Linked DNA regions of Oryctolagus cuniculus. The main gene of each other region encodes a partner of the protein of the gene in region 2 in a complex. Links are inferred from orthologs where the notes say so. Each region holds a gene or a part of one and is shown on either strand. Other genes may lie near its edges.

What was found.
Region 1: the proteins of UPF2 (region 2) and UPF3B are in contact, whole or in part, in a crystal structure (PDB 7NWU), measured with the Homo sapiens proteins. The link is inferred for Oryctolagus cuniculus from reciprocal best matches to the Homo sapiens genes UPF2 and UPF3B. Residues at the interface, in NP_056357.1 of Homo sapiens: Lys767, Arg768, Pro769, Pro770, Leu771, Glu773, Tyr774, Lys777, Lys790, Arg793, Gln794, Arg796, Lys797, Leu798, Pro799, Trp800, Gln801, Cys811, Ile814, Asn815, Trp817, Tyr837, Gln838, Glu839, Asp840, Ile843, His844, Val846, Asp847, Gly848; in NP_542199.1 of Homo sapiens: Lys52, Arg56, Arg57, Tyr79, Glu81, Phe83, Asn85, Asp86, Thr87, Ser88, Leu89, Tyr90, His92, Tyr94, Arg96, Tyr98, Ile130, Glu132, Pro135, Phe136, Lys138, Ala139, Ala140, Arg147, Asp148, Lys150, Val151, Gly152, Thr153, Ile154.
Region 3: the proteins of UPF2 (region 2) and UPF1 are in contact, whole or in part, in a crystal structure (PDB 2WJV), measured with the Homo sapiens proteins. The link is inferred for Oryctolagus cuniculus from reciprocal best matches to the Homo sapiens genes UPF2 and UPF1. Residues at the interface, in NP_056357.1 of Homo sapiens: Val1105, Cys1107, Glu1109, Asp1110, Phe1113, Ile1114, Ala1116, Leu1117, Met1120, Met1121, Asn1124, Leu1125, Arg1128, Met1169, Pro1170, Phe1171, Val1172, Met1173, Leu1174, Thr1175, Gln1181, Lys1184, Leu1186, Asn1187, Val1188, Pro1189, Ser1192, Gln1193, Leu1194, Asn1197; in NP_001284478.1 of Homo sapiens: Asn150, Thr151, Ser152, Gly153, Val157, Asn158, Leu160, Val161, Arg162, Lys164, Lys166, Pro175, Leu176, Gly177, Thr179, Tyr184, Cys188, Asn190, Val191, Phe192, Leu193, Phe196, Pro198, Asp202, Ser203, Val204, Val205, Val206, Leu207, Cys209.

What each region holds. Positions count from the first base shown.
Region 1 is NC_091453.1:73,250,702-73,254,342, reverse strand, and holds part of UPF3B (regulator of nonsense transcripts 3B), read right to left. Parts: intron 2,193-3,641; coding exon 2,082-2,192; intron 1,027-2,081; coding exon 983-1,026; intron 551-982; coding exon 368-550; intron 1-367. UniProt on the Homo sapiens protein: Involved in nonsense-mediated decay (NMD) of mRNAs containing premature stop codons by associating with the nuclear exon junction complex (EJC) and serving as link between the EJC core and NMD machinery.
Region 2 is NC_091444.1:71,004,908-71,008,648, reverse strand, and holds the start of UPF2 (regulator of nonsense transcripts 2), read right to left. Parts: upstream 2,831-3,741; 5' UTR 2,561-2,830; coding exon 2,504-2,560; exon of another isoform or gene 2,424-2,503; intron 1-2,423. UniProt on the Homo sapiens protein: Involved in nonsense-mediated decay (NMD) of mRNAs containing premature stop codons by associating with the nuclear exon junction complex (EJC).
Region 3 is NC_091447.1:65,854,672-65,858,312, reverse strand, and holds part of UPF1 (regulator of nonsense transcripts 1), read right to left. Parts: intron 3,253-3,641; coding exon 3,113-3,252; intron 2,457-3,112; coding exon 2,367-2,456; intron 1,546-2,366; coding exon 1,378-1,545; intron 1,252-1,377; coding exon 1,071-1,251; intron 796-1,070; coding exon 634-795; intron 544-633; coding exon 426-543; intron 309-425; coding exon 210-308; intron 103-209; coding exon 1-102. UniProt on the Homo sapiens protein: RNA-dependent helicase required for nonsense-mediated decay (NMD) of aberrant mRNAs containing premature stop codons and modulates the expression level of normal mRNAs.

The DNA.
Region 1 (3,641 bases), on a different chromosome or scaffold from region 2:
AGGCAACTTCATGTATCAATTATGAAGGAAAAGCTGAATAAAACCCGTAATTCATGCCAGCCAGCCCTAAGCCCTCATTTATTATGAATTGAGAGAATAATCTAAAAATTGAATATTTTCAATGATAAAAAGAACATAGATCTGCACTAAAGAAATGATAACATCATGTAAACTACTTCTCATTTTAAATGATCTTAAATTAAAAAAAATAACATTACAGGAAAGATTTCTATTGGTTCATTCCCCCCCAAAAGGATAAAAACAAAACAAAAAACTGATTTACACCAATACAACATGCATGCATATTTAAAGATGTAGATACATGCAATTTTCAACAGCATGCAGTCAATTTAAATTATCTTCATACCTTTATCTTTGGTTCATCCCTTAATTTGTCCCTTTCTGGAACTCTGTCTATCTTCTTCAGCTTTTCTATATCTTTCCTTTTTCGTTTCTCTTCTTCTTTCCACTTTCTTCTCTCTTCTTCCCTCTGCCGTTTTCTTTCTATTTCTCGTCGCCTTCTTTCTTCTCTCTTTTCTTCTCTCATTCTCTAGAAGAAACATCAACACAAACCTTCAAGTAAGATAATCATCATCAAAAACCTAATCAATCCCAAAGGCATGATGGGCTCCCACTACACTGGATCATCTTTCTACAGCCTCCGTAACCTCCACCCCGCCCAGAAAGGGATAGAGAATGAAGACCAGGACCTGCTAGTGTCAGTCTCCCCCTGCTGCCTTGCTGTTCTGTCCAGAGGCCTTCAGAATATCAAGACAGGGTCTCTGGGAGAAGCTAAGGACTCTCCAGGTTTACAGAGTGAGAGAGAGGACCAGAGAATGAGACTCGCAAGTCCAATCTTTATAAAGAACAGTGGTGGAAAAAGCAGCTCTTTCTTGAACTACAGGACCCCAATGCTCTTAAAATATTTACAGAATGTGAACCAATGAAAGTATTCAGAGAACTATAAAAACAAAAGGTTTACCTGCTTGTTTTTCAGGAAGCTCAAAAGTGGGGTTGTCTTTTTAGCTACATAAATGTAAACAGATTATTAATAATACTCATCACTCTCTAGCAAGGATTCCATTTCCTGACATTCCCTGCCATCCACCCAAGGTGGGAAAACTATACCCCTTAAACAGAAAGTTAACAACTATATTACTGGGAAGTAGTTTTACTGTATCCCATTTTAGCAACAGAGGTTTAAAGTACATCTTAAAAACTGAAGAAATTAAAATTAAGGCAATCAAACAATTTTTAACAGAGTAATTTCTAGTTAGTAAGAATTAAGTACAAAGGACATTCTCTTGTTTTACTAATAAGAATATGAATTTTTTCAATTGGAAAGAAATTGAGGAAAGGAATTAAAAAGATCTAATGCTTTTGATCTCATAATTCTGCTTCTGGGAGTTTATTCTAAGAAAGTTACCAGAAATGAGCTTAATCTGATTAATAAAAAATCAAGTTTTCAAGAAGAATATTCAGCTTCATTTTTCTACATTCTGAACAGTGCTATTAGCTCTATAACTACTTTTTAAATACATACTTTCTTAAGATAAATTCCTAGGAGTGGAAATCTGGGGTGAGACTCAACTGGTGTTTAGTTACTGATACAGTAGTGACAGCCTATTACTTAGAACCAACATCCAAGCTAGAATTTCTCAAGAGGTTTTCACTTTTGTAGTAACCAATTCCTTTATATGTGTATATACATATATATATATTTAAATACAAGATATATAATCAATTTCTTTACGTATATCTTTACTTATATTTATTTGTAGGTCAAAGTTTTTATGAACATTAACTTTTTGTTGCTAGGAAATATCAATTGATCTTCAAAAGCTTACCATTATCTAAATTCCCCTTATCAGTCTTTTCACACTTATATTACAAGGCAAGTATTATCATGTGCATTTCTCAGCAGAAGAAACAGTCTCAGAGAAGTAAGTGACTTCTCCAAGGTCACTGAGCTAGGAAGTGATGGAAGTGGGAGACAGACTTAAGCAAAAAAAAAAAAAAAAAAAAAAAAAAAAAAAAAGAAAAAGAAAAAGCCCTTCCCCTAATTCCTCTTGCCCACTTACCTATTAATTCTCTATTTTTTGCTTCTATTTCCTCTAGCAGTGTCTCTGGAGTAGATGTCATTTTCTCATTGTCTGTAGCATAACTTTCCAAAAATTTTCTATATTCTGGATCTAAATAATTGTTCAAGGAACCAGAAAGTATAGTAGACTTTAAATGAAAGACCAAATATTATATAGAATTATATAGGATACTTAAGTATCAAAGAGGGTAATATCCTACTTCATGGAAGATTAAAAAAAAAAAAGCATACCCACAAGATAGACTATTTAGGGCTTACGTGGTCACAAATAGAAATGCTACTGCCAGTACCCATTATAGAAGTCTTGTATAACACGGGAGTCAGGAAAAATGAGATACCACACATCATAACAGAACCACGGGGGATATTATATGGGATATTTTTTAAAAAGATCTATTTAATTATTCAAAAGGCAGAGTTACACAGAAGGACAGAGAGATCTTCCATCTGCTGGTTCACTCCCCAAATGGCTGTAACAGCCAGGAGCTAGGCACTTCATCTGGGTCTCCCATGTGAGTAGCAGGAGCCCAAGCATTTGGGCCATCTTTTGCTGCTTTCTCAGGCACATTAGCAGGGAGCTGGATAGGAAGCAGAGCAGCCTGGACTCGAACTGGTGCTCATAGGGATGCCCATGGTAGATACAGTGGCTTAACTGCTAGGCCACAATGTCAGCCTCTACCACTGCTTCTACCAATCCAGAGTCACACTCAGGGGACAACTGAAAGTTACAGCTATGGAACCTTCTGAGAGTATTAGGTATAGTATATAAACAATTCCTGTATGGCTATACCTTACTTTGGGTAAACTCAACATAAAAAATCAGATGTTCCAAAAAGATAAGTTGGGCAGAAACCCTAGATGTGGCACTGGAAGGGATGGTAAATCCTGAAGTTTTCTCCTAGATACTTTTGGCTTCAGAAAGGTGACATATCAGAATCATTACATTGCTCTTTCTAAAAAATTTATTTGAAAGGCAGAATAACAGAGAGAGGAGGAGAGACAGATACAGAGATATTCCATCTTCTGGTTCACTTCCCAAATGGCTACAAAGCCAGGAACTCCACTAAGGTCTCTTATCTGGGTGGCAGGGGCCTAAGTACTTGGACCATTCTCCATTGGTTTCCCAGGTGCATTTGCAGGGAACTGGATTGAAGCAGAACAGTCAGGAAATGAACTGGCGCTCATATGGTATGTTGCCTTTTTTTTTTTTTTTTTTTGGACAGAGTGGCTAGTGAGAGAGAGAGAGAGACAAAGGTCTTCCTTTGCCGTTGGTTCACCCTCCAATGGCCGCCGCGGCCGGTGCGCTGCTGCCGGCGCGGCACGCTGCTGCTGGTGCACCGCGCTGATCCGATAGCAGGAACCACGTACTTCTCCTGGTCTCCCATGGGGTGCTGGGCCCAAGGACTTGGGCCATCCTCCACTGCACTCCCTGGCCACAGCAGAGAGCTGGCCTGGAAGAGGGGCAACCGGGACAGAATCCGGCGCCCCGACCGGGACTAGAACCCGGTGTGCCGGCGCCGCAAGGCGGAGGATTAGCCTA
Region 2 (3,741 bases):
TTCTCCAGTGGGTAGTAGTACAGCGCAGCTGGTTAAGCAGCCACATGGGATGCCCACATCCCACACCGGAGTGCCAAGTTCAAGTCCCAGCTGCTTCACTTCTGATCCAGTTCCTTACTAATGCACCTGGGAAGTGGTGGATGCTGGCTCAAGTGTTTGAATTCCTGCCATCCAGGTGGGAGATCCAGAGGGAATACCTGGCTGCTGACTTCAGCTTGGCCTTCACCACAGCCCTGGCCATGGTGGCCATTTAGGAAGTGAAACGTGAGATGGAAGATCTGTCTGGCTGTCACTCTGCCTTTCAAATAAGTAAATAAACAGTTTCTTTAAAAAAAAAAAAAAAAAAAAAAAAAAAGATTCTCATTAAGACCCTCAAGTGTCTCAGTCCTGACATATTCTTTCTGGAGGGTGGCCCTTTTTTCCCTCTTCACTTTTAAAATTTTTATTTATTTACTTTAATTTCATTTGAAAAGCAGAGAGACAGGGAGATCTTCCATCCTCTTGATTCCTCAAATCGTGCAACAGCCAGGGCTGGGCTAGGCCAAAACCAGGAGGCCAGAACTCCATCCAGGTCTCCTGTGTGGGTCGGAAGGAGCCCAAGTACTTAAGACATCACCTGCTGCCTCCCAGGATGCACACCAGCAGGGAGCTGGATGGAAAGCAAAGTAGCTAGAGCTCAAAGCAGGCACTGTGATAGGGATGTGAGCAGCCCCTGCTCCAAAAGCCCATCCCTGTACTGATATATTCTTTAAATCACTTCATCACTCTATTACAGACATACCCTCCGAGCATATCTGGAACAAGATCTCAGGGAACAACTACAAAAAACTAACAGTTCACATGGAGGCAGCATTCCGTGCAACTTGTGAAAACAACATGTGCGGTCTTTGAAGTCAGTAAAAGTTTGCACCCCAACTCTGGGATCGAGAAGTTACTGATACCAAGCAACTTCGTTTCTACGTCTATTTACTGGACAAAATGGAGAAATGGCTGCTTCTCTGAGTTCCCAAATGCTAACACAGTAGCTAGCATGAGGGAGGCATCCAATAAATACTGGTTCTCTTTGACACAGAACACTGACAAGTTCATCAGATGAGAGATTTTTAAAGGTAAGACCATTAGATTCTATCTACCCCAATTCTCTATTTTTACATTGACTTGGTTGGTAGCAGTATTTTCTGCCCAAAATTATACAACTAGTTTAGTGACTGGACCAGGACTCACTGCCAGCACTCTTTTCTACTACAAATACTGGCCCTAAGATTTAAGAAAGCAAGCAAAACATATGGCAAATGACAGGATTCAGAGCCATATCACGTTAAGTGAACCATTCATTAAATTACATAATAAAGCACTAGACTTTTTAATTCAAACTTTGCTACTCAAGCATTTCATGTAAACTAAATGCCTCCAAGTTTTTCCAGTAAAATCTTCAGATTCCTCTCAAAATAACTTAAAATAATCAAGATACAAATTAGTGATCTTTTAATTGGAATATCAGCGCTTAGAAATTATTTCACTGAGCACAGTTACATTCAGATGGTCCTGAGAAGGAACCTATGCTAAAAAACCACCTTCTAGCTCCCAAAATAGTGTCTTGACACTTGGGCTGTATTATTTTGCTTTTTTTAAAAAATATACTCTGAACTTCCAAAACAAAGTAAAACGTCTTGACTAGTAAAAGTGGGACTAACGGAGAAAGCACAGAGAATTGGAGTGTTTCTCTTTTAAAGATACTCGTTTGCAAGTACCATATGGATTGTGTGTGAAATCACAATTAGACTGCTCTGAAAATACTCCTGCTATTCAAAATGTTCTAAGGGCATTATCTCCCCCTTTAAAAGGGTGTCCTTGGAGAAAACGGCTAACCCAAAATTTTGAGACATGTCATCAAACACGGTATTCTTTGCCAATTGGTCGGATTTTTAAAAACAACCGAAAAAGACCGTGATACATGACAAGGGTCGGCGATCGCTCCACTTGGGTACAAATCCTATCAGGAGCCAAGGAGCCGAGGGCCCAGTCGCTCCCGTGTGTTCCCCCAAATGTGAAAGCGGGCCCCCGCTCCGCCGAGCTGGAGACCCAATGCCACCCCGGGATCACCTCCTTAGTTGCACGGTACTAACAAGGAAGCACCTGGAGTCCTGGGGGTGAGGGCGAAGCGCAGAATCAACCAGCCCGAGGGACTACAAGGAAGTAAACCACACACCCACGCCCACATCCCAAGACGCCCAGGACCCCGTCCCCGACACACACCTCTGTCCCGAACCTCAGCTCGGGCCCCACACCGCTCGCCCGCCACAAGCCCCCCCTCCCCTCGGCCATCCACAGTCACCTTCGCCGGACACCCTTGCCCCAATCCTAACTTCGCGTCCCGCACGCCCGCCCCGCAGCACCTCCTCCCACTCACGCACCCTGCCCACCTCCTTGCCTTAGCCGTCCTCCCGGCTCCCCCAGGCGCGTCCCCCAGCCTCCCCTCGCTTCACTCCACGCCCCCAAACACCTTCAACCCGGCCACGGCAGGCTCCCCGCCTCCAGCGCCGAGGCCCGGCCCAGGCATGTGGGGCAGGCACCTCCTCTCCCGCTCCCCATGCCTGCCACGGCCCGGGGTTCCCGCGTTGAAGGAAGCCTCCGGGAGAGGGGGTCTGAGGAGGGCGACGCCGGACCCACACGGTCCCTCCACTGCTCGCCGCCCCCGGAGAGCTGAGGTACGGAGTCGCCTTTTGGGTCCCCCCAGGGAGTAGGAGTCCAGGCCGGTGCCCCCCCCCCCAGCCGCCCTCAGCCCTACTTCCTCCCGGTCGTTGGCGCGGAGAGGCAGGAGGCTCCCCGGGACTCACCTCGAGCCTGTTGTCAACATTAGCCCCGGGTTTCCCAGCACCAACTCCAGCGCTCGGGCTCTCCCCTCCCCTCCCCCCACCTCTCTCGCAGCCGAGGGCCCGCCTTCCCTCAGCTCCCCCTCCTCCCTCCGCCCGCCCGCTCTCCCGCCCGCCACTCACCAGCGCGGCCGGGCTGAGGGTGGGGGCGGGGCGGAGGGAGGGGGGAAAGGAAGAAGCTGTCCGCGAGAGTGCCGGATCGAAAACGCTCCGGGCCGCCCGTCCTCCCGCATGCCGATGCCCTCAGCTTGGCTCCGGGGTGAAAGGTCTAGAGCAAAGGCTCGTGTTGGTGCCGCTCATTTAGCGGCTCGTTCAAATTCCCCAGTTGAAGAGAGAAGCGACTTTTTCAGACAGGCAATCAACTGGGCAGCGACTACCAGCGCCTCTAGCCAGGGCCCCAGTAGAGGGGAGGAGTGTTTCGAGGACCGGAGGTAGGAAGTGGATTGGTCGCCAGGAAAGGGAAAGCGCCTGAATTGGAGATGCGCAGGCGCAAGCATTTCGCAGGGGGTAGGGGAGCGAGAATGGGGCGGGGCGAAGCTGGCAGCGGCTAGGGGAGGGCGGTGGAGTAGTAGAACTACGGAGCGCCGTTAAGGACAAACTTGGCCACGTGATTCTCCTGGGAGTTTCCTGGTGAGAACGTAGGGAAGAGGTCTAAGAAGGGAAAGTTTGATTGGACTAATTCGGAGAGGTTGAAGATTTGGGAAATTGGAAACTGGGGAAGCGAAAGAATATGGCTGGTGAGGAAGGGAGAAACTGGTTAGGAATGGATCTAGATTTAAGGTTGCCCTAAAAGACAGCCACAGTCCCGTGGGGGGATTTCCAGAAGCAGTTTAAGGAGTTCGACCTGAAACCATCCAGAGTGCAGAAG
Region 3 (3,641 bases), on a different chromosome or scaffold from region 2:
CCACCTGGAAGTTGTGCGTCACCTCCACGGGCGCGCCCACACTGCTGCGCAGCTCGATGGCGATCTCGTCGCCGTAGTCTGGGCGCTGAGTCAAGTCCGCGTCCGCGTCAAGAAGCGGCGGCGCCCGCGCCCGGCCTGCCGGCCCGCGTGGGTGCGTGCTGCGAGCCCGCCGCCCCCCGCCCCCGCCCCCCGCCCGCAGGCAAGGATACTATCCGGGACCTTGATGACGTGGCCGATGCCCTTCCAGAGCGGCGCCAGGTCGCCCTTGTAGCGCAGGCAGATCTCGTCGCCCTGCATGAGCCGCATGTCTGCGGGGAGGGGCGGCGTCAGCGCGGCCCCCGCCGGCTCCCGCGCCCGGCGCCCGCTCGGGGCGACACAGGGGCTTGGCGCTACCACGGCACAAGGAGTTCAAAACTTAAAATCACCTCTTAACCAAATTAGGACTAAATCCTCATTACCAGAGTCAGTCTTGGGCAAAGTGAAGTAGGCGATTCTCTTCTTGTTAAGGCCCAGGTCCCACCTGACCGTGATGTTGTCCTGCGTCTGAGCAGGGAGACAAGGCCCGGTCAGCGCCCGCCCCGCGGCCCCGCGCGCGCCCCCGTGCTGCCTGCGGCCGGGCCGCGGCCACGTCACCTGCGACTCCTTCAGCTTCTTGTCGTAGTCGGCCTCCAGCTTGACGAGCGGCCCGAAGATGTTCTGGTACTGGTAGGCGTCCTCGTAGCGCAGCAGCACGTGCTGCGGCTCCTCGTCCACGCCCGGCTTCTCCAGGTCCTCCAGCGTGGCCGCCGGGTTCTCCTGGGGCAGGGCAGCGCACCGCTCAGCCCCGCCCGCTCCCGCCCCCGCAGCTCCTCCAGCTGATTGGCTGGGCCGTGGCCCGCCCCGCCCCCGCCCACCTTCCACAGCTCCCCCAGCTGACTGATTGGCTGGGCCGTGGCCCGCCCCGCCCCCGCCCACCTTCCACAGCTCCTCCAGCTGATTGGCTGGGCCTTGGTCCGCCCCGCCCCCGCCCCGCCCCCACAGCTCCCCCAGCTGACTGACTGGCTGGGCCGTGGCCCGCCCGCCCCACCCACCTTCCACAGCTCCTCCAGCTTGTTGATCTGCTGGGCGGTGATCTGGCGCGCGCGCAGCTGCTCCTGCTCCGAGGGGATCTTCACCAGCCAGGACAGGAAGCAGCGGTCCTGGATCAGCGGCTGCCACTGTGAGCTGTCCCAGTTGATGTCCTTGAGGCTGCTCTGGCTGGCGCAGGGCTGCCTGCGGGGGCGGGGCAGGGGAGCGGTGAGCGGCAGCCCCAGCCCCGCCCCCTCCCACCACCACCGAGCCCCCCCCCCCCCCGCACCACTGAGTCCCCGCCCCGCGCCGCCCCGCCCCGCGCCGCACCTGCACAGCAGCACCACCACCGAGTCGGCCTTGGCGGGGATGAAGCCCAGCAGGAAGACGTTGCGGCAGCCGCAGTTGTAGCACTCCAGCACCGTCTCGCCCAGCGGCCCGTCTTTGTGCAGCGTCACCTCCTTGCACTTGGCCCGCACCAGGTGGTTCACGATGTGGCTGCGGCCGGGCGGCACACTGAGCGCCCCGCACGGGCCCCTCCCTCACCACTCGGCCCCCGGCCCCCGCTGGGGGACACCCCGGCCTTGGGGCCTTGGTTCGTGTGCTCCCTGGGTTCCCAGCCGCCCCTGCGCCCCCACCCCGCGGCAGGCCGGGAAGCCGAGCACCCGAGCACTACAAGCGGCGCGGGAAGAAACACCGAGGGCGTCCGTGGCCGGGGGTGGGGATGGGGGGGTCCCGGGACAGAGCCGGCGGCGCTCCGGACCCTGCGCCCCACAGCTGCCGTCCAGGTTCCACGAGCTCCCCAGGGCCCCCCAGCCGCTCCCTCGCCCTCGGGTCAGACTCACGCACACAGAGCAACTGAAACAAGAGGCGTTTCTGCTAAAATCATCTGAAAACACCGGCCCCCGGGGTGGGCACTTGGCTCAGCAAGCCCCCTGCCCCCACGGGACAGCCGTGCGCAGCTCTGGACCCAGCTCCCCGCCCTCCCGCACCAGGCGGGCAGAGGCGACGACCACCCACCCGGCAGACCGAGGGCCTGGCCCCCAGGCGGGGGAGGGAACGAGCACACGGGGGCCGCGCTTGAACACCGAAAAAACCAAACCAAACCAAACCAGCCTCCTGCAGGCCCTGGACCCGGCGCTGAGCCGCCCGGCCGCGGGGCGTGGCCTTCCTGGCAGCGGCCCCCAGGGGGCACCAATGCCACAGGGCCCGGGCAGGGAGCGCCCCAGCCCCGGCAGCAGGGGAGCCCGCGACCCGGATTCCACCCGGGAGTCAGGACCCCGCCCGCGCCGGCCCCACCTGCCGGAAGTGCTGCCTACCTGCCGGAAGTGTTGCCGCGCCCGTTGCAGAACCACTTCTTGCTGGTGTTGCAGTAGACCACGCAGGCGGGGTCGTGGATGCCGCAGTAGCTGCGGAGGCCCAGGGGCGCCGTTACAGCGGGCGGAGCGCTCCGGCCCTCACTGGCCAGCACGTAAAGGTCTTTCCTCTTACGTGTTTACGTTTTTCATTAAACACGTCCTCAAACCCAACAACCCCGGCCTCAGCACCAACTCCGTTAACTGCACAGGCTCCGTGCACCCGAGAGGACGGGGGAGGAGGCAGGTGGCCCCCAGCTCCCGGGGAGGGGCGCGGGCAGCGGGGCCCAGCCCCGCCAGGCGCGCTGCCCACGCAGGCCTGGGCCCTCCCCTCGGGCCTCCATGCAGCAGCCGGCGGCGGCGGTCCCAGCGGGCCCCGGCAGAGGGCGCTGCGCTCCCGGGGAACGGGCGCAGGCGCGGCAGGCGGCACCTGGCAGGGCCCCGGCCCGCCCGCGGAAACGCTGGCTCCGGGTGGTGTCGCGTGCCGAGCCAGGACCCCGTCTGGAACCCGCGTGTCACAGAGGGGCCCCGAGTAAACTCAGTTCACTTCCTGGGGCTGCAGACCCCTCATGCGAGAGGAACAAAATGCAAGGCCAAGTCCAATCGCAAGGGACAGCCCTGCCCTGCGGGAGCCACCAGGCGGCTGTCACCACTCGCACGGGCCCGGGCGCCCTCTGGCCAGCGTCTCCTTCCACCCACGGCCCGCTCACCTGCAGGCGTGGACCGGCAGGTCCTTGGTGTAGTAGGTGTCCTCCTCATCCTCCTCGAAGTTGAGCTCGGCCAGCAGCTGGCTGGTCTTGGCCACGCTGTCGTCCACGGCCCCATTCTGCAGGACGCCCTCGGGGCCGACCTGGCCGGAGGACAGCGTCACTGGGGAGGCCCCTAGCCAGGCCAAGGCTCCCCGGCCACCACACAGCCGGGGTGTGGGGACGAGCCATCTGCAAGCCAGGATCAGATCCCTCAAAAGGCTGCGGCCCCCCACGGCTGGGGGAGCCCCCCCGGGAGCGTGTGACAGTGTCAGCCATCAGGGCCAGCCCACGGGGCCATCTGGCCAATCGGATAAGACGACACTTGGGACCCCTGGGTTCACGTCCTGGCCCCACTCGCAAGGCCGGCTTCCTGTTAACACAGCCGGGGAGGCAGCACTGACCGCTCAAGGCCTTGGAGTCCTGCCACCGCGTGGGAGCCCCACACTGCGCTCCAGCTGTGGGCCCTGGACGTCCGAGGACAGACCCAGCA